Linked DNA regions of Drosophila melanogaster. The protein of the gene in region 2 interacts with the protein of the main gene of each other region in a pairwise test. Each region holds a gene or a part of one and is shown on either strand. Other genes may lie near its edges. The genes, in order: CG14275, esn, rngo and CG6724.

Evidence for each region.
Region 1: the proteins of esn (region 2) and CG14275 interact in a two-hybrid assay, tested with the Drosophila melanogaster proteins (one large-scale study listed by BioGRID).
Region 3: the proteins of esn (region 2) and rngo interact in a two-hybrid assay, tested with the Drosophila melanogaster proteins (one large-scale study listed by BioGRID).
Region 4: the proteins of esn (region 2) and CG6724 interact in a two-hybrid assay, tested with the Drosophila melanogaster proteins (one large-scale study listed by BioGRID).

What each region holds. Positions count from the first base shown.
Region 1 is NT_033779.5:8,325,847-8,333,412, reverse strand, and holds CG14275 (uncharacterized protein), read right to left. Parts: upstream 5,958-7,566; 5' UTR 5,830-5,957; intron 4,366-5,829; exon of another isoform or gene 4,239-4,365; intron 3,766-4,238; 5' UTR 3,710-3,765; coding exon 3,649-3,709; intron 1,106-3,648; coding exon 720-1,105; 3' UTR 502-719; downstream 1-501.
Region 2 is NT_033778.4:7,105,079-7,109,702, reverse strand, and holds the start of esn (espinas), read right to left. Parts: upstream 3,024-4,624; 5' UTR 2,762-3,023; coding exon 1,779-2,761; intron 1-1,778.
Region 3 is NC_004354.4:16,439,702-16,445,886, reverse strand, and holds rngo (rings lost), read right to left. Parts: upstream 4,335-6,185; 5' UTR 4,105-4,334; coding exon 3,867-4,104; intron 2,395-3,866; coding exon 1,911-2,394; intron 1,847-1,910; coding exon 1,561-1,846; intron 1,498-1,560; coding exon 1,129-1,497; 3' UTR 520-1,128; downstream 1-519. Other genes in the region: eIF2alpha (eukaryotic translation initiation factor 2 subunit alpha), read left to right, coding at 2-332; Cdc50 (cell division cycle 50), read left to right, coding at 4,685-4,745, 4,962-5,230, 5,475-5,670, 5,725-6,060, 6,125-6,185.
Region 4 is NT_033779.5:10,767,696-10,771,710, forward strand, and holds CG6724 (uncharacterized protein), read right to left. Parts: upstream 2,258-4,015; 5' UTR 2,039-2,257; coding exon 1,980-2,038; intron 1,920-1,979; coding exon 1,253-1,919; intron 1,196-1,252; coding exon 949-1,195; intron 882-948; coding exon 592-881; 3' UTR 539-591; downstream 1-538. Other genes in the region: CG17127 (uncharacterized protein), read left to right, coding at 3,290-3,586.

The DNA.
Region 1 (7,566 bases), on a different chromosome or scaffold from region 2:
TTTAAGTAAAAAAAAAACTTAATAATGCCCTTTATTGCAGCAAAAGATCCTTCCCCTAACTAAAAATATGTTACATATATTATTAGCTTAAGCTTATTAGTAAGCTTATTATATTCTCATTTCACACATTTGAAAGAACGTCCTCGTTTTCCGTTTTCAGTGTAATCCTGTGTTTGACTTAATGGGCCAACATGTCAGGGTTTCATGCTCATCCTCAACAATAAAACTAACAAAGTTGCCCTATTATTTTTGGCCTGCGTAGACAGTGACTTTGACTCTGGGCCACAAAACAATTTCTGCAGACATTTTGGCAGCAAGTAACTGGACGATAGACAGAGATAGAGCACAGGAAGTGTGTGAGAGAGAGAGACGGAGTGCGTGGGCGAGTCCTTGGTCAATTTAAGCGTTCGTCCTCCTCATTTGCCATGAAAAATTCGATTTTATACATTTGGCGACAAGTTCAGAATAAAAGAATGCAAATAAATTAAACATCATAGATTTCTTTTAAATACGATGCTTATATTTTTATAGTAATTAAATATAAAAATACAGAATACAAGACTAAACGCGAAATAGCTGCCACGTATACATAACTAAATATGGCAAACAGCAAAGAACTTAGTGCAAAATATTTAAGACTTAGCTTAACCAGTTAGGATTAGGTACGTTTTGAATGGAGAAAACAGGATGCAGGAGCTGAAGGTGAGCTGATCGATGACCTAATGCCTGAGCATGCTGGCCAGTGCCAGACTGACGACAGATCCAACCAGACTGTAGCCCAACTGGCGGACACCCAGCAGGGAGCTGGCTCCATTGCATCCCTCGTCGGGACAGGTGCAAATGATCTGCTTGTAGCCCTCGTTGTCGGCGGTGAAGCAAGCGTTTTGGATCTTCTCCGGAATGAAACCACAGCTTCTCTCGATTCTGCGCTCGTCGTTCTGCTCGAAATTGATCACCGTCTTGCGGCAGAAGGCCACCTCACCGCTGGGCGGGACGCAGTCCGTCAGGTACTGGTTGTCCCTCTGGGCACGAGGAGTGTTCACCACCAGGCCACCGCAATCCTCGTTGTCATGCGAATTACACTGATGGCACCGAATGGCATTCACTGCAAGGACAAACCAATCATATACGTTGATTAATTGCTTTTAATTCGTAATCGTGTAATATATTCAAAAACAATTCCATGAATTAGTATAGAAATTCATTTATTAATTAATTACTTAAGAAATTTCAAAATGTATGCATTTGTGCCTTGTATTACGATTAGGTAAAGCCTCCGCTTTAATTAAACTACTTTTATCCTCGTCGACAGTAATTGGATACGTGCAGCCACTAATGGCATTCAAATGCCTCGCGATTCGCCCTTTTCAAAGTCCTCGTCACACTGACAGAAATTGTTTTATTACAACCACCCAACGCCACCCCAAAAAAAGTAATAGGAAAAAACATTGGGAGGCCGTTCTCTGACTGACAAACCGAGTCCTTTTCAACTGCAGTAACCTGAATAATTGCATGTCAACTGCTTGGGGCCAACAAATAAATGCCGAAACATCCAGACTTTGGCACGCAAACCGTCAAGAACTCAACAAAAACTGGGCTTCAAATCGCTGGGCCTAAATTGATGCGAAGTGCAGTAACCCTAACTAAGAGATATGGAAAATGCAATAGGAATATAAAAAATATAGAATATGCATGTGTTAAATAAAACATAAAGTACACAAATTTATGATTAAGGTTAAGTCTTTTGTTTCAAGCGTTTCTTACATTTTAAGTGATATTTTCTATAAATATCCATATTTATATCAGAAATATCAGAAATTTATTAACCCTTCTTTAATTTGATAGGTATAATTTCGATAGATATCAAACCAACTTGCTGTACTAATGAAATAATTAGCTCATTTAAAATCTAGTTGAATTAGGAAATTAGCCTTTCCATTGGTACGATTGCTCCTATTACCATATCAATTTTCCTTTCAGCTGATTTGACAGTCTCCATCCAATTTGGTTAGCAATACGATGGGTAAACTTGAAGCCGTCACTCAGAAGAGAATTTTTCCCATTGAATCCGGTGAAAAGAAAAACTACATTTGCCAAAGGGCAAGGACATGCTAACTTGGAGGAACAGTAACCTGAAACTCGTTATTATAAACTCGAAATATGTCTAAGCTTTTGTCAGGATTACAAATGTCGAACGGGTCGTATGAGTAATATTATAACACTTTGGTTACTAACCACTTACTTGGGCAATTAAACGAATCCAGGGTAGTGCAAACAAAAATTCAGTAATAAAAAGTCACCTGCCATAAAAATCAGTAGTAAGAGTAGTGGTAGGGGAAACTGAACTGAATTTGCATTTCTAGCATTTGCCATTTGCATTTTACATTTGTTGCATATTCATGCGGCTCACCGGTGAACTTGTGGCAAGTGCGGAAAATCGGAAAAGCGGGTGGAAATCGAGGCAGTCGAGCGCAATATCTCTCAACTGTTGCAACTTTTCGCCTGACAATTGTTCGCTAATGAAACGCGCTCTTCAGTTTGCCGTGGAAAAGGTTGTGTGCTATTCACTCGCCACTGGAATGCGCCCACAAACGTGCATATTTGCCCAACCGATTAATGGATCGAGGGTATATATATGTACTCAATAATATAATATAAACAACCACACATTTGTTCGCGTGCAAATACATTCAATATTATTTAACGCCATTTAATGTTCCCTTAACGAGTGAGTGCGAGTCGCCGAATTGCTTGGACAATCAATTTACTCCAAGCGGTGGATTACAAACGGATTCGGGCAATTGTGTGTGCGTGTGAGCATCGCGGGTATAATTAGTTTAAACTCTCGGATTTTTTTAAACAATTATTTGCCCGAAGTGATATGTCGAATGATGAGGTAATTGCTACAAACGCAGTGGGCATCGCTTAATTATTGAACGTATAAGGAAAATCAAAAAAGTTCTAGCAAATAAAATTAAACGAAACATAAATTAACAAATAAAATATTTTAGAATATTATCTTTCTATTCAGTGAAGCAAATATTATTTAAAAAACTTGTAATATGAATTCATCATAACTTAGTACGATAAATGCCAATATCTAGCGCTATTCATTTCAGAAATCAATAGGTTTGGCCATTTATCATCCTTATTAAAATCCCCCGTCATTTATGAATTTAGTATAGTTTTCTTTGCTGTAGAAAATAAAAACTTTTCGATTATTTGAAGCTCAATCTGGATAAACACATTTAAATTTGGCGCTTGAATGGGCAGCATCAATTTTCTTGATAAGTTTTGGTGAGTCACGAATGCGTTTGGCATCAGTTTCCACCCCGCTGATTATATGGCTTCTTGTTTTGTGATTGGTTTAAATGATTTCGAGTAGGGAAAAATCAATCAATTGGCGAAAAACCAATTTTGACAATCACTAAAGTGTTGGCCAACCAATTGGCCTTTTGTATTACACTACATTGAAAGTGATTTTCAATTGATTAGCTGAATAAAAGCTAGCTGATTACTTTGAAACATAGAACACTACCTACACTGCACATAATTCTAACTTAATTTTTATTAATTTTATTAGTTTCAATTTAAATCTATTCCATTTCCTAAATATTATACATTTTTCTGATAGATATAAGAACTTACCTGTTAACAAATTGGCGGCCAAAACAAGGCACATGGCATAGACGTAGGTTGTGATTGCCATTTTGTGGTTTTTGATTGCAGTTACTAGATTTCCAGTAGACTTCTCCAACGCTGATGCTGTAAGTAGTATTAGATTTTCGCATTTTATTTATCAGATTTTTCTCTCTTTTTTGCATTGAGGTTTGTTTGTAATTTGATTAGCACTAGAAGCAGCGCATTGTTTAATTAGCATTGCTCTGGTAATATTAATAATCTATAATTCTTTGTATACTACTCTTATTTACACTCGTAAACCGGTATCAGAACGTGGCTATTAAACGTGACAAGTGCAAGTGGTGTGCTGATGCAACTTTTGGATTTTTTTTTTTAAATTTGAATATTCAACGAGGCGGATTGCAACAAGTAGCTGCGAATATGTAAATTTAATTTAAATGTTGTGTACATCCAGTGAGTTGTGCACAGTTCAAAAAAATTAAATTAAAATTTGTTTTCTACCCAATTAGCTTATATCCATTACAGATTACAATCGAAGTCGTTTTTCACAAACAATTTAAGCCCTTTCAAAATGTTATTCGTATGCATTCAATCACCTTTGATATTTTCAATAAAATGCTAAACAACTCTTTATGATCATAAGAAGTTACAGCACACAATTAATATATTGTTGATTAATGCGAACGGACAACTGGACGCGAGCACCGTCGAGATGAATCTGAAAACTTGTATTTGACTTTTCGAAAAACGTTGATTTTTCAAAAAGCCAGCTCATTGCGAACTGAGAGCCGAGCCGAGCAGATTGGCTTCGGGAGAGCGAAGAGAGCGAGATCGGCCCTAAAGGCAGCAAATGGAAAATATGTGAAAACTTCCGTCACTCGATCGTCTTTACGGGGTCGTTTTATATCAACATATATACCTATGTATGTTAAATACATACATATATGTGCGACTATATAGGGGGATGCTACACAAGGTAGTTTCCACGCCGCATTGATAAGCTCCAGCTTCGGTTGGTTTCAGCTTGGTTCTTAACCCGAATGCAAAACACAGTCCAAATGGAATCCACCGGCTTGAACCAGTTAAGTCCGAATTGTGACGTCACTCGCAAACAGCTCCCAAAAAAAAGTAAATAAACAATGTATGTACTATACAATACTATACTATATATAGCTTTTGAATAGCCACTTACTATGCCTATTAACAAAAGATAACCATTGTTTAAGTAAGATTCCCATATGCAGCATAATATTGGTAGTATAAGCCAATAAAATGCAATAATGGCTAATAGCCATATAACTTTATAACTTTTCATTACTATACAAATAATGTGAATGTTAAGTTTATAAAAACTGACGTACAAATTACCTAGATTTTCCATAAAAAAAGTAATAGCTAATTCATTTGATAGGAAGTTGGAATCTCAAATTCGGGCCAAGATGTCATTGGCTCTGCAATCTTTTCCCATCGAGTGATCGATTTGGTTCCGGTGAGCTGGGTTTTTGCGATAGGAGCACGTTCTGACCGCCATAACATGGACTGTACGAGCTCCATAGAACGGCAGTTCCTTATCAACGGCGCTGATTAGTTAAAACTGGTTCGCACCTCCAAAAACTCAGCTGTGGTGGTTCGGTCTAGTCCGCATCGGTGACGAAGTCAGACTTTCGGACTCAACTTAATTGGGAAAATCAGTGGATTCGTCTTATCTGTCTCTCTTCTAGTTCAAGGCGGTACGAATTTCTTGACTCATCATTAAATGTTTTAAATTTTGCCTGACGTAAGGTACATATCTGTGCAGTGCATTCATTAGGTGTTCGATTCTGCAAACAATGCAACTAATTTTTAATTTCCACGCTGCATTGTGTGAAGCGCCAAGCTAAAGTGAATATGCATATTGCCGCGCTCAGTTGCCGGTTTTAGCCAGTTTGAAGTGGTTCTTGGTCGAAAACAGCTCTCAATGAAAAGTGGAAAATTTCCTTAACTTATTGTGATTGTGTGGGGAAATTTTTGGAAACTAATTTTCCTATGTAATGGTAAAATCTTCTGTTCATAAATTATGAAAGTGAATTTATCTTTTCTTTTATTGTGTTTGCTTGGAAATGAAGAATCTCAAAAAGCAAACTACACAAACTGATCTCAAAAATCTCACTTCTTGCTATCTATTTATTTAATTAAATTAGGAAATACCTTTTTTCTTTTGAAATTTTTTACTGTTTTGTTGCACTTCTATTGTTAGTTTTTGTTTGTTTGACTTTAAGTGTTTAAATTCCCACCGACAGTAGAACCAATCTACTGCAAATTCAACGTGTAACTGAGGTCTGTGAATATGAGATCTTTGTCTTCAGCCAAATGACATTGGTGGGTTCGTATCGAAGTCAGAAATCGGAAATCAGCTGATCTGCGAGCATTATTGGGAGGTCAGACTGGGGATTCGTTTGAAACCAAAAACAAACTGAGGCAAATGAGCCCGATTCTTGTTTGCTGAAACCGGTTTGCCGGATTTTTTTTTTTCTAACAAGTGATTTCTGGAAACGTATCTCTCCTGTTCGCGATTTCAATCGCCAGACTTCATGATTAATTGCGCATAAAATACGAAATTAATGCGAAGCCACGGAACAAAAAAAAAAAAGTAAATAAAGGAAACTTATTTTTTGGGGCTAATGCTCTAATTGAAACAAGGGGAAATTCTCACGGCAAATAACCCATATTTTGTTAGAAAAGCTTTTAGTCGGTTCTTCAACACATTAGAAGCGGTAGCTTAAAAGCTTAAGATTTCAAAGCTTCGCGTTTTAGTCGGACTCAATGTTATTTAAATTTAAACAATTTGTTGCTTAACATGTTAGTCAACATTTTGATTATTCGTACTTTAACCCCAATCCAAAGCGAAAACTCTTTTCTTACTATCGCTATTTATAGTCGCAAACATTGTTTAATGCAATCAATTTAGGGACATCACACTGAGAAATATTTATTTTCTCAATTTTTTATTTAAATAAATTGAAGTTATATTAATAAAAAAATAAAATAAATACACCTAACATTGTAATAATGAATAAAAAAATATATAAAAACGATTTAAGTGTGTCAAAATAAAAGTAAAGTGAAGATAAATGCTTACAAAATATGAGGCTTCCAAAATACTTATAAAAGATCGACTGCATATTATGAACCTTTTTTTTTTTAAGTGTAAGTACAAGCGCGACTGGGAGACAGGGTAACACAAATCTCCCCAAAGGGCAATCTGCCCCCACGGATTCCTCAATTTCGCGCACTGATTGGGGCACAAAAGCCAGGCAAACCGATCTGCAAAAATATATGTACATATCATACATACATATATGTATGTACATATATAGTGCATATAGTGAGTGAAAGAAAGACTTAATTCAATTGACCAGCGTCTTGGGGCAGCAATTTGTGCGACTTTGTGATAAGCAACGTGGCTGGAGCTTCAAGAGGAAGCCTGCGATTAAGCTTAATTAATCCCGGTGGATTTGATTTCTGCTTCTACTGTGCGACTTCTCCGGCTATTCACGTGCTCACGTCCTCCTGATCTCCGGCTATGGATTGAGTGTCTGGACGCCTAGTTGAAATGGCGCTCAGGGTTATGAGTGAATGAGGCGAATAGTCCAGTGCACTGCCTTCGGCTAATTGCAGCTTCTAATTGCGACTACTTAAAAATACATAAATAAAAAGTGAGATGCCAAAATAAGAAGAAACAGAAGTGGAAGTGATTAAGAGCAGATTATTTTAATACAATATGTAAACATGTATATATTTCAAAACACCTAATTCAGGGAGCACGATTAGCTTTTTAATGTATTTGTTTATACAAACATTTTAATAATCTTAGCTTAGAGATCTCATTTCTGAATCGACCTTTAACGGCCAAACAATTGATAGGCAATGTGATGATTATTTGAG
Region 2 (4,624 bases):
TCTGGCCAACTTCAATTAGCCAGGCTGGCAAAAGAGGGCCGCCGGCGGTCCCAACTTATTTACTTTATTGTTGAGATTCCTATGCAAAGTGTTCGGCCGGCCAGGCGCTTAATTACGCTTTAAGTAGCCGCCAGTCAATATTGGGTTTGGTTTATTTAAACTGCGAATGTAATAGCCCCGCTGATTGCGAATGGCTCGAGAGGATGTGCATATGGATGTGGAACTGGAGGTGGAACTGGAGGTGGATGTGCGTCTCAAATTACAAAGTTCTGTTTAAGGGAAATTGATGGCGCACTCCTTCCACCAATATTTTATGGCTTCACCCAAAACAAAATCTAATTAACAGTTTGCGTAGATTTATGAACAGAAGTCCATGCAAATGAAGTCTGCATGCGGAATGCAGAGAATACAAAAGATGGAAGAGATGGCAGAAATGGCAAAGATGCCGAGGACCTGAAAGATCTGAAAGATCTGAAAGATACAGAATACCTTTTCGATGAAGGGCACTCAGTCAGGCGGCAAAAAGAACTCAATTTATGAAGTCGTCGGATGGAATTTATGAGGCTGCAGGATGCAAACACAAGGTGACGGGCGATCGGAGGAGAAGGACCTCGTGAGGATGGGCTCAGTGGACCCGAAGTTCTGCCAGCCTCGTTTAACCGCTGCTGTTGCCACTTAGCTGCATGCAATTCATTTTGCAGTTAACAAAACTCGACAGCGAGGCGAAGGAAGGAGCACGTGCTGGCCAGAAAGTTGATAAATAACTTTCCGGTGCCAGTTTTGCAAATAGTCGGGCATTAATAACACCTTCTTAGCGAGCCCACAAAGTCGCCTCCAGCTGACAGAGCCTCTTATGGCGGATTATTTGTGCCATTATTCGAGGGTGACCTGTAGGATTTGTACTCTCAGCGCAATTGAAACTGATACGCGTAGCCAACAACGGCTGTTGATCAGGTGAAAATGATAAACTCCGCTCTATTTATGAGCCGCCAAAGAGGTATGCCTTATCGTTCTGGATTCCTTAAGAAGTTCTGAAGAAATTAATTTATCCTAAACAATATGAAATCTAATAAGGGAAAGAAATGGCGATGGTGACAAAAATGACAACAGAAAAAAAGATCACGGGATTAATTCCATATTAACATTGCAAACTTCAAATGGGCTATAAACCCAAGGGCCAAAAACAACAATCGTGTCCATTGGTTTATTACCTTTTAAACAATTGCAATTGTAGTCGGTAAATTCGGTAAATTGTTTGGCCTTCGTACTTCTCTTTCAATAGTTGTAAAAACAACATTGGTAGAAAGTTGCAGACCCACATTTTCAACGGCAGCTAAAAGGTATTAAATTACCAAACACGAAAGCGGCCATTTTCAATATAACGAGTATTAACTCAACGTAAGTCGGAAATCTATAAAGCTGTCAGTGTGCCAGCCCATTTTAATGCGATCTGCCTTGCCTATAACTTCGAATAGCCAGTTTAATTTGAAGAACCATAAAGTATGATTCCAGTGGTTAGGAATAGAATCCTCCAGAACCCAACTGCTCCTCAACTCGGAGCACGGAGCACGGCTCATATGAAGCTATTAAGCAGCCATCAAATTGGGCCGTAAACTCTCTACTGCGACGCCCGTTTTATAGTCACTTAAATTGGGAAATGCAAAGCTCATCAAATGGATTTCAAATTAGTTGGCCACATTCCCGCCGACAACTCCGCTTTCCCTCGCCCACTTATCGCCGAGAGTTATGGCCATTAGAGATAGCCGGTGGAAACTCACATTTTGGGTGCTGTGGCTGCCGGCGGTGGCGGCCTCTTTGAGTGGCCATCAAATCTGGCCAATTGTTCTTCAATATCGCTGAGCTGGATATCGTCGGCAATGGCCTGGTTGAAGTAGCAGTTGGCCTTCCTCCTGCTCTTGTCCACCTCGAGGAGCTGCTCCGTATCCTTGGGATTTAGCCAAACGGCGTTCCTGTTGCGGCAGCGGTTCAGGTTCCTCAGATCGTCATATCGGAGGATCTGCTGCCCCTGGATCCTTGCTATCTGGGAGGGCGTTAAGCTGCCGGTCAGCATGGCCACCTCCACGTCATCGTCGGTCTCCCCGTTGCAGGAGATTCCCGAGGAGTGGAACTGATCCTCGCTGCTCAGCTTCCTCTGCACGCAGCCGGAGGATTGGGCCACGGCCATGGCCAAAGTGGGTGCAGGGGATTCGTTGGGCAGCTCCAGCGCTATTTCGTAGGGTGCTAGGGTGATCGTGGTGGCCTTTGGCTTGGTCTTGGTTCGCACTGCCGACTTGATGATGCACTTCGCAGGGGCGTTGCCCCGATGTTTGGAGCACGTGGACTTGCTACTCTGCTTCCTGGGCGTCAGTTTGGTCACCGTCGATAGCCGGGACTGCTGTCCAGCTCCTATCTGCGGCATTTTCGGCGGCTGAACCTGCTCCTCCAGCCGCTCCCGGCTGGCCAGGCGCTCCCTTTCCGCGGACACAGCCCGTCGGCGACTCCGCCGTATGCTGGGCATGTTCCGGGGGAACAGCTTGCCCGCCTCCGCCTGGGAGCTCTTGGAGAGACTGTCGCAGCTCCGGTGGCGGGTGGGACTGCCGCTGCTGGCGGTGGTGGTGGAGCTGTCGCTAATCGTGGTGGCCGTGTTGGCCAGCACTGAGGAGCACTCGCTCAGGTTGACGATGTCCCGGTAGTTCCTCGACTGATCCTGCTTGCCCACCTGCGGCAGCCGGATCTTCCACCAGCGCTTCTTCGAGAGCATCGCGGTGAGTGGAACGCACGTCAATCACGGGTCGCGGGCCAATCAATCAATTGACACATTAACGAACGGGGAACACCTTAAGCAGTTGGCAGGTATGCGGCGGCCTGCAATTACCGTCGCCAGCAATTAACGGGCGATCCGCTTGCTCCAATTACGTGCACTCGCGATCGGATTGATACGTATCGGCTGGGATTCTATCTGAATTCCTGGTTCGCGAAAGAACAGCACTCGCACCGCTCGCTTTGGGGCTGCTCAAACAACTGAAGATTGTAGAAAGTAGCTGTTGGCCGAAAGGCGGCTTTTGGCCAGGTTGGTGCAGGTCAAACTCACCACCAAGACGATCCAGCCAACTCACCACAGCTCTCTTTCTCTCATCTATATATCTCTCGCTCGCTCTTGTGGCCCAAGCAAGTGCAGGTAAAACAGGTGGCACAGGTGAGTCGAGTGGCTTTCGGTTGAGTGCTTCGGATTCGAGCCAGAATGTGGTGGCGTTTATTAGCCAGCTATTGAAGAGGCAGATTCTGGTAGCTGCAACTGGTTGATGCAGCTGTCTTCGGGCCATTTGACACATTTCAGGCCGTTTAGCGATTGACCCATTTCAATCACGGCCAACAAGGGAAGACCACGGCCAGCGTCCCTTGGGCGTTGTGTTACCACATTAGCAGCGCACTCATAGGTGGTCATTAGACTGCGGGCTTGGTGAAAATGTGGTAATCGGGTAAGGCCCCTCTCATGAAATCCATCCGTTTGCCCCGGAATGGAAATGAAGACGGGCGGATGGAACGTGGACGAGGGAACAAACCAATCATTGGAAATTAGGGTTTGTGGCTTCCCTATGCTGCACGGGACTCTCTTCTTGTGGCAGCACACGGACGGTAATGGAGTCGACACCGATTTCACATATTATTCAATTAACACGCAGCTACTGATTCATTGCAATTGAGGCTGAGCTAGAATTTACTAGCCAGTGCAATTATGTCCTGTTGATATTTGGGATAAGTATTCTTCAAAATGGTTTTTAGTTTAAAGTTATGTGGTGATTTTGATAATCGACTTAATAGATCAAAGACCAGTTTCACTTCCGAGGCATTCCACTAACTATCTCGGATATAAAAATGCTATGAAAATTATTTGCACAATATAAAATGTGTCTTTCGTTGAATTATTTTGAGTCGCTATATAAAGTGTCTCTCTCGATGAATTAATTAGAGCCGCTAACTTCTCACACTTTGCAATTATACTTTCTTCTCTGGCTACTAACAACCAGAAATAATTTAAAATTAGTGACCTTTACTACAAGCTAAAGGATTCAATTGAATTTTTAACTTACCTTCAAAACTCTCCCAAACGAATTGCCATTGCGAAGTTTGCGTTTTAACAAATTGTTTCACCAACTGCAATGAAAGACGAAAGTAAATAAATTAATTTCCCCATTTAACGTTAAATATTTGCACTCTCTTTCGACACTCAAAGAGTGATGGGCGAAATGGCCCAACTAATTGAGGACCAGGCCAGAAGAGAACAGCCAACATGAAGCGGCTGAAGGCAAACGAAATAAGCAAGTGACTGCCAAAAGTATTTTAATTGCCCGGAGTTTTCCGAAAAGAGGGGCGTCAAAACTTTATTTGACAGTTGGAACAACTGAACAATTCATGAAACAATTTTGATTAAAACCGAGACACACGGTCTCCAACTGGAGAAATGTCAGCGAAAGCAGTTGTCAGATGCCAGCAGCAGGTGAAAATTGGTGCACTGAGAACATTAGATGCTCAAGGTGATTGTATTATCATTATCGTTAGTAATCAATCATTGGTTGTATGGTCGATAGACAATGCCTTTAAGCTCCATTCAACTATAAAACTA
Region 3 (6,185 bases), on a different chromosome or scaffold from region 2:
GCTATGTAATGACCACATCCACTACCAAGAAGACAGACGGTTTAAAGGCTCTGGAGGTGGCCATTGAGCACATTCGCGCCAAGACCAGCGAGTACGATGGAGAGTTCAAGGTGATCATGGCACCCAAACTGGTTACGGCCATCGACGAGGCGGATCTGGCCAGACGCCTGGAGCGCGCTGAGGCCGAGAACGCCCAGGTGGCTGGCGACGATGACGAGGAGGATGGCGCCGACCAGGAGGGCATGCAGTTCGATCCAGAGAAGGAGTTCAACCACAAGGGATCGGGGGCGGGTCGTGCGAACGAGGAGGATGAGGAGGAGGAAGAGGATTAGCGTAGCCACAGCATCAGACACAACTATAGCAACTGTAACAAACAATTAAAGGAGTTTTGCAAAAATCAGAAGTTGTAATTTTATAATTTATATACATAACATATAACGAATGCTATTAAAGATTTATAAAAGTGAAAACAGCGAGATGCCCAAGAAGACAAATCAAAATGCGCTTGCTCATCTTTTTCTTTTCAAATCCAAAACAATACTATCGACCATTTATTATTGAACCCAATTCAGTTTTTCTTGACAGACCCTTAATACTAATTCAAATTGTGTATAAGTGTAATATTATTTAATAGTCAGGCATTCTTTCGTTTTTCTTTTGTATTTACTTGTTTCATGTTTTCGTTGATGCGGCTTGTTTCCATCACCGTCCAGATTTTCATTCATTAAATTTTAGATTATATCGCTTACTATTCTCTCTAGAAAAAACCAACCCACCTCTGCTTTAAAAATGACCCGGTAGTGCTGCGTAGCACCCTAATTAGATATTGTACATCGTAACAAACGATTCGTATAAAAAAAGTGACATCAGTTTATAAACATTTCACTAAATTAGAAAGGTTTTCGTTTCGGTATTCATTGCTTTGTGGTTGTGTATAGTCCTTACTATTTCCTATTTGACTTTATATGTGGCGTGGCGTGGCTTATTATTTGGTATTGCTCGGAGTATTTCGTTGGAACGGCTTCCAGTTAATGGGGTCCAGTCTGTTCATCATCCTATTGCAATCCGGTTTCTGGCTATGGGGAGTTCGGCTTTAGGTGGTGGTGTGGGCTGTGCGTCTAGCCGCGTTCAGCTGAGTTCGCTCCCCGAGGCGGCATCGTTGCGGTGGAGCAGCACGGACCTGGCCGCCTGCTTGTTACCGCCGCACAGGCGCAGCACGGTAAGCACATCGCTGCGAGGATAGCCAAGGGCCATGAGATCGGTGACATCCTGTTCGGTGAATCGTTCTTGAGGACTGATCGTGTTGGGCCCGCCACCGGCGCCACCGCTCTCCCGTTTGCTTTGCTCGATTGCATTGGAAATCGCCTCCTGTTCCATCGAATCCTCCGAGTTTCCTGTCAGCCGGGCGCTGACCGGCAGCTCACTTTCCGGCAGAAAGGGTGTCGTTGTTCCCGTGGTGCCAATAATCAACAAATTACGCTGCAAGTCAATCAGGCACTGGAAAAACCAATTCAATTAGCATTTAGGCGACGTAATCTGATGCTATCTAGATTTCATTACCTGATGTCGCTTCAGCATGTCCAGACCCAGCAACATGTCCATGGGTTGCTGGCCCAGCACGGTGAAACTGGACGTTAGGTGATCGTTCTCAATCTGCAACTGGACCATGTGTATCCTGCCCAGAATGGGCTGTGTGCCAACGCCCTTGGCCACACCATTCCAGCGTGTGTCAATCAGACGGTTGACATGGCATCTCTCGGCGCAGTCTTTGCTCATGATCGTCGTCTGGGCGCCAGAGTCCACAAAGGCCTTCACAGGAATGCCATTCACTTTGCAGTTGATATAGCTAATAATATGCAATATTGCAATGAGCCAATCCAATCATATTAATTATTTTTACCATTACTTACAGCATTGTAACCGTGCCAAAGATCTCTGGATTGTATTCAATGGCAGCCGCCATGTTATCCTGGATATTCTTCTGCTTGATCTCTTCGGCAATCAGACGTTGAGTCTCCTCATCGAAGGGATCGGCGTTTAGCATGCGCATGCGGTGCTCGTTACGACGCTTTCGCTCCGTAATATGCTCGCGAAGCAGCCGAGCGAACTTTTCCTTGTCGCCGGAATCGATGGCTTCCGCCAGGCTGGGATTGTACTGCCGGAGGAGCGACAGAGTCTCGGGACTGGACAGAAACATCTGTCGCACCGTCTCTGGGTCGTCGTCGAAGTTCACATTGAACTCATCGGTCGTGGGTATGTCCGTGAGGTTGTTGAACTGCGGCTGCTGCACTCCCTGCTGCTGCACCCGCCTTGACGGTGGACTGCCGCCTGAACTAGTGCCCGGCACGGCGATGTTGCTGAAGTCGAGCGTGCTGATCGCTGGATTTCCGCCAACTGAAATTTTTGAATGAGACGAAAGATTAATCGATTGAGGTAGTTTTCTATTGCGTTTCTTTACAGGATTACATTTGTCAATATTCGAATCGATTACATTGAATATAGTTTAAAAGACAATTTGTGGTCAGTGCAGTTATCTGCTACAAATCGAGAAAATTATCAACATATTTACGCGTAAAATGGAACAAATTTTGAGAAAGAAAGAGCAAGCAATACCTAAAAACCTCAACAAATTTTGCCCAAATATAATCTGGCTTGCAGATTGTGAAATAAATGATTGCGTATAACTCATGCTAATTACCATACAACAAACATTTATATACATATGTGCATATGTATAAACGTTTGTCGAGATAGATTAAATCACCGTCATCCAATTTGAATGGAACTTAATTAATCTGTGATCTATAATCGAATTAAAAACATCAGACTAGCGAGATAAACCAATGCAAGTGCAGTTGTGTTAACTAGATAATATGTACATATCTGTAGATAAGTGATATGTAGTTGAACTCATTTTCTGGCTGCCAAATGAGCTTGCTCGCGTGCGAGTCATGGAGTCCAAAGTGCTGTGCAATGGTCAAATGAAATCGAAAATTGTTCACCGCCCACACCTGTCTGCAGTCGCCAAAATGTGTGCACATGTGTGCAGAAATACCATTCATACATATGTACATATGTATATAGCAAAACAATTATATATACACGATCCCATTTCAATGGACAAGCTGACAAGGCCAAATGCGCATTCAGGGGTCAACAAAACAGTGGTCCGGCCACAGTGGGCGGCCCAAGTGGGTGGATCCATGGGGCTGAGACTGAGGCAAAGGCAACGCACCTGCTGCTGCTCCTCCACTTTCATTGGTATGCCCATTCCTCACCGAACCCGAACCCCCCTCTCTGCTGCAGTGGAAACAGCACACACTTCCAGTGTTCTTTCCCGTGTCTGTGTGCCGCTGTTTTTTTGGAATTTGCGAAAAGAAAGTCAGACGAAGCAAGGCGTTTATTTTTAACACCAATTGCGCCGCAAAAAGATGAGCTGTGCTCGCTGCGCTTTTCCATAAAAATCTAGCAACTAATAACGCCAACAAATTAAAAAAAAAATGAGCACAGTTCAAATTTCACATTGCAAAAGTATTGTTAAATGAAATGTTCGCACTACGTATTCGGGGTTTCCCGGTTTTTCCTAAATATTATGTTGCTGAAGTATTTTTTAAGCGACATTTGAATATAAACGTGTTATGGATCATGTAGGACAATAATTAATTTTATTATTGTGCGAATTCGCGTTATCTGACCAATGAACCCCCTTCACCATCCTCCAAAACACACTCAAGATCCCCCCCCCTCCACGGGGAAAAACGTGACCCACATAAGGATAATGGCTCCCCCTCTCTTCACCCCGCTCTTTCCACTTTCCCATCTCGTTTCCATTCCAACGCCGAATTTCAACTCTCTCTCTCTCTCACCTGGGCGATTGGCGCTCCTGCGTCGTTCCAGCATGATGAAGTCGCCGTCGCCGACTCCGCACTGTTGCAGCGTCTGTTTGTCGCTGGAAAGCTCCCGCCCGTTGAAAATTACCGCTATTTGGGACACTTCCGCACCGATCTCCATCGCGCAGAGGGCCTTGAGATTCTCCAGCTCAAGATCCTGGGCCACGTCCAAGCAGAAGACCTTGTCATCGCTGGTCGTCACTGTGATTTTCATTGCCGCTGCGTACTGTGTGTATGTGTGTTGGCGTTTCTGTGTTACCGTGGTTTAGGTGGATCGAATGTTAGCGAGCGCGGGTATGTACTGCACTGGTGGGTGGCAAAGTGAATCACAATCTCTGCTGGTCTAGCCTTTTCGCCTTTATCTTTGCTAGCTGGATGGGTGTGCTGATATTCTGCTGCTCGCTTATTGTTTTGACACAACAACGAAAACGCCGCCTCCACGCGGTTGCATGCGACGCCTTATCGATACTATTCGCGGTCTGACTATCGATAGTTGAATGGGATGGCTAGAGCATTGCTCATTTGGAGGTATTACGACGAATTTGGAGAGACAAATGATTTTCCTCTTACCTTAGTTTAACATATTTCTCAAAGGTAAGCCAAATGGAGCAAAAGCTAAATATAGATAAAATTTCATCGATATATACCATCACTGCAGGTATCGATACATATCGATGACTCATGTGCTGTCATCGAAATTTTATTGTATTTACTTTATTCAATTGGAGTCACTTGCAGCGTTTGGACACCAAGGAGCTTTTCGAGGAGCATAGCGAGAAACCAGATAAGCCACCATGTCCACACAGCAAGCGGAGAATGAGGAGAGTGCAGCGGCGAAGTCCAAGCGACCTTCAGGTGAAAACCCAGTTTCATGCGAGTCGCCCCATCCAAATCCCAATCCCCCAATAACACACTCACACACACTTGTCTGCGTAACAAGTGATAAGGAGGGGAATGACTAATATCCAATGGCAAATCGATTTTCGGGGCCCATCCTGGTGTCCCTGCATTAACCATGAGGTCATGCCAAGTCGCTCACGTTTGCCCGTTTCCCATGTTGTCCACCCACAGATTCGGCCTTCAAGCAACAGCGCCTGCCCGCCTGGCAGCCCGTCCTGACCGCCCGCACCGTACTGCCCACCTTCTTCGTTATCGGAGTTCTATTCATACCCATCGGCGTGGTCCTGCTCCACCTGAGCAACACCGCCAACGAGCTGATCATCGACTACACCAAGTGCAGGCGCTCGGGCGGAAATACCACCTGTGCGGAGTATCTGGAGGCCAACCCCGGCGTTACGTGCCCCTGCGAGGTGCCCTTCGTCCTGCCCTCGGACTTCAATGTGAGTTATAGGGATCCAGAGCTTCAGTAGCTGTCCAGCTCAATTAATCAGCTCTTAGTTTAGGTAGTGAAGTAGTTCAAATGAAAAGCTATATGCTGCTTTTATAATCTGCAAGGCATTTATCAACATTGCTTTTAGCAGGTTTGGAAAAGATATTGATGATATTGATAGTGGATTTGGATTCCTTATAATACTTTAGAAAGAGATTCTCATTTAAGTATTTCGTTAACTTCCTTTTTTAAAGGGTGTGGTATACATGTACTACGGACTGACCAACTACTATCAGAACCATCGGCGCTATGTGAAGTCACGGGACGACGAGCAGCTGCTGGGTCACCTGTCGCAAACGCCCAGTACAGACTGTGCCCCCTTCGCCTATGATCCCGATTCCGGAAAGCCCATCGCGCCCTGCGGTGCCATTGCCAACTCGCTGTTCAATGGTGCGGCACAGAAACTACCTTGACTGTACCGCAACTAACATTGATATCTTCCAGACACGCTGACCCTCTTGCAGGGTGGATCCGAGATCAAGCTGCTGAAGACGGGCATTGCCTGGCCGTCGGACAAGCGCGTCAAGTTCCGAAACCCAGAGGGTAACCTGAACGTCTCCCTTGAGGGCTTCTCAAAGCCAATTTTCTGGCAGAAGGGTCTGGCCGACCTGGACCCGGAGAATCCGGACAACAATGGCTTCCAGAACGAGGATCTGATCGTGTGGATGCGCACCGCCGCTCTGCCCAGCTTCCGGAAGCTATATCGCCGTCTCAACCAAACGAACACCAACTATGCCAACGGCCTGAAGTCTGGCAATTATACGCTTAACATTAAGTATAGTAAGTACGAATGGCTGGGATATCGCGAATGCTGTATCTAATGTATTTGTGTTTTGCCCTTCAGATTATCCGGTGGTGTCGTTCGACGGCACGAAGCGAATGATACTCTCCACCACATCCGTGCT
Region 4 (4,015 bases), on a different chromosome or scaffold from region 2:
ACTTGCGAAAATGATTCTCCCTGTGTCGCCTGCTGCCCTCTCGCTCGCACTCTCGCGCACACGGCCTTCGCAGTGGATGCACGGCTGTTCCGCTGGCGTCCTTGGTGGGTGGCAGTGTCGGCGCTCCAAACTCCTCGGCGGCTCACGGTCGCGATCGTTGTTATTTCGCTAAATTACAGTTGGCAAATTACGAGGCGACGCAGAGCCGACTTTATCTTTGTTAGAAACTCGATAATTTGTATGTTTGTAGCCAGCTATCGGTCCGGGTCCGTCTCTAGGTGCTCGCGCTGTCCGCTCATCCTTAGCGAACTATCGATGTTCGGCTTCTGGCAACCGTTTTTTGCCTTTTCTAGCACTGTGGCAACTCGGAAGCGGATACCATAAAAATAATATTCAAGTATTGAAATCTAACTATTTCGTAAATGAAATAAAAAACAAGAATATTTACACCATGTATAATACACTTTGAATACCTCTCTGCTTCACCCACTTCGATAATTTAAGTGTAACACCCCAGATGTAAAATCTTTCAATATTTACTTTAAAGTTTAAACTAGTTTTGTATTTATAAAAAGTTTACAAGTTTTGGGATTACTTCGTCTCCGCTTCTTCCGCTAGCGCCTTGCGAGATTTGAATACGCGCACCGTGTTGTCGACACCACCAGATACAATGTACTTGGGATTGGACCAGTCGATGTCCAGGACCTTTTCACCGTGACCCAGAAGATCGTACAGTGGGGCCTTGGGACTCCTGCAGTCCCACAGCTTGTTCTGGTTGTCATAAGCGCCGGAGACAAATAGGAACTCCTCCGTGGTGGACCACATGACGGTCTGCACCCAGGCATTGTGTCCCAGATAGGTATTCCTTACCACTGATCCCTCTGAAAGATCCGAATTATATTGGTTAGGTGGAAGTTCCATTGTTGATATTGGAGTATTAGATCTTACGGTTTGTCCTAGGATCATAGAGCCGCAGATTCTTGTCCGCCGAAGCAGTCAGTATCAGCCGATTCAGCTTTGAGTAGCTCGCATCGAATATGGACTTGTTGGTGGATATTTCGGTCTTGATGCCCTCAAGACTCAGATCCCACACCTTGAGTGTGTGATCCCAGCTGCCAGTTAGCAGAGTGGTAGCATCCATCCACTGCACGGCTGATACGCTCTCACGATGTCCCTGCAGCGTAATTTTGGGGGTCTGAAAGGAATTGTAAAGCTGATTACAAGTCTAATTATAAATGGCAAGACTACTCACTCTCACACCGCTCTCTTTCATCCGCTTTGAGCTGCCCTCGACTGCATCGTCCAGCTCTGCTGACCACACCTTCAACATCGTGTCCCAAGAGCCCGTGGCAAATCTCAGACCATCCGGACTCACGCTGACACTGTCGACGCCTCGCTCGTGGCCCTTGCACACGGAGACACATTCCACCGAGTTGGAGCCCACGTTCCACTGCCACAGCATGGCGGTCTGATCCTGCGATGTGGACACAAAACGTCCCGTCTCCTCGTCCAGCGATATCCAGTCCACCGCCTTGATGGGCGCCGTGTGACCAGAAATAGTGAGAATGTGCTTGCCTTTGTTGGTCCACAAATTCAGGGTGTTGTCGTAGCACCCGGAGAGGATCCACTTTCCTCTAGCCTTCACCGCGGACACCCAGTCGTCGTGCAGCAGGCAATCCTGTGGCTCTGGCGCCGGGAACCGCTCCACATACTCGATCTCGATGGCGTCCTCGAAACTGATGGCTTTCTCGCGCAGGTGATCGCACAGCCGGCCACGCAGGTACTCATCGAACACCAGGAAGTCGAAGTCCGTGTCGGAAGAGCCATCTTTTTGACGCAACAGTGCGTTCACGAATGTGTTTAGCTCCACGGTGGTGACGGTGCCATCGATGGCATAGGGCACATCAGGCACGGCATAGCTGAAATAGGGTATCTTGATTAAAATCTTCTACTGATAGAGATTCTAGATGGACACTCACTGCTCCTGCTTGGTCTTCAGGTGCACCTGCACCTGCCCCTCGCCGTTATCCACATCCATCTCCTGGCCCACGTGCGTTTCTTTTTGGCTGGATTGGGATTGGGGTGTTCCCGCGTGTGTTTGCTACGGTTATGACTTAACTCCTGCAGGTGGTACAAGGTGTTGACCACTAAACTAGAGGTTCTTCCTTCGGGAGATCGTTGTGTAAAATTAAATTGAAAAGAAGCGTGTTTTTAAACGAACGATGGTAAATGCAACAAATACATGCAAAAACACTAAAAAACGCCGAAGCGCATGCCGGAATAAGAGTTATCGCATTGCTATCGCTGTGCTCTTATCGAAATGCCTTATCGTCTTGTTATCACCCGTTACTACTAAGCGGAGTTTTTAAATTCAAATTTTTTGGTGCGTTAAAACTATGCATAATTATAATAGCTTGCTTAAGTGTAATTTGCCGATTACTTTAACAAATAAAAAGATATTAATAGAGTGTATGGTATTTCTAATCACTTTGATTTTGTTTCTCTAAAATATTACTCATCAAATTCGAAAAACCGCTGATTGCATAACCACTGCTTTGTCGTTTCTCCTTTTTTTTATTACAAAAAAATCTTACAGAGATACGAGCCAATTCGCAATACTGATAATTAAATATTTTTTGCAAGCAAATCAGGCGCAGATGATTTGCTGTAATTTAGCCACTAACTGCTTCTCTTCCTTTTGATCGTCTTACGCAAAATGGAAAAATAAGAAACCAAAAAATGCACAGCCGCGGCGGCAATTTGTAAATGACTCTTCAATCTTCAAAGACTGGTAATTGTTAATATTTTACGTTCAGGCTATTAATATGAACCAGATAGCACCTGAAAGACCACTTTGCGGCCGAGTGTTCACTGGAAGGTTAAATGCCACTTGACATTTCTGAAGTGGCGCTTAACCTTCGCATCAAAATTGGACAAATGCCCAAGAAAATAAAAAATTTCCAATAAAAAATGTATTCACCTTAATGGGTCGATGGGGATATTAAGCTGGGAAGTAATAACACTTTTTTTCGGTACTACTACTTTGTGCCACCATTTTGGCTTTACAAAAAACCAGAAACGAAGCGAAATGAAAGAGTTAAAGCTTTCCAGATTTTCGGGGCTTCCAGCGGCGCAGCTCAGCTTATAAAACGGGCATTGCGCCTGCGCAGCCGAAACATTACAACAAACGACGCGCGCAAGGTAAGACCATAACCAAATCCAGTCCGCATCGAGCGCCACTGAATCCGTGCATCTCTTGCAGTTGAATCCCCTCGAGAAAACCCACAAAATGAAAGTGTTCGCGCTGTGTTCGATGCTCGCCCTGCTCCTGGCTGGTGCCCAATCCCTGCCCCAGAATCGCGAGGGTGCCGCCTACACGAACGAGGCGATCCGGCAGGCGCAGCAGACGCTTCTCATCCCCAAGGATGCCCAGATCCAGAACGTGCAGGAGGGCATCGAGCTGGGCGCGTACGAGCAGATACCCGGCAACCAGCGCATCAATCTCTTCGAGATCCTCGGCGACCAGGTGCCCTCCGAGGTGATAAACAACCTGCAGTCCCAGGTCGACCAGATCGGTCGCAACTAAGTCGTAGGACCACTTCCTTGGTTAGCTCATTGCATTTCGTCCTCATTGTTAAGTTTCTCACTAATAAAACGAAAACATTACAAGTATTTAATCGCAGCGTTTATTTACCACCCAAAACAATTGGAAAAAAAAATCCGAAAAAAATATTAAAAGCGAAAGTGATCCTCCCCGAAAACCAGTTGGTTCCTCTGCAAACGAACTCTCGAATCGAAACGAGTGATTTATTGGTTTGATTTGTGGCTTTTTCCTAACGATCTTCGCCGACTTTCTCCTCGCTGATCCCGCTGCGCATACGAATTAACAATAAAAGTCGGCACATTGCTATCGCATGGCATGGTATCCTATCCTCAACCTTGTTACGTAACCCGGGGATGGGAATGGCGATGGAGTCGCTGGTAACCCGAGTGGTTGCCCCGCCGGCAACTTTTG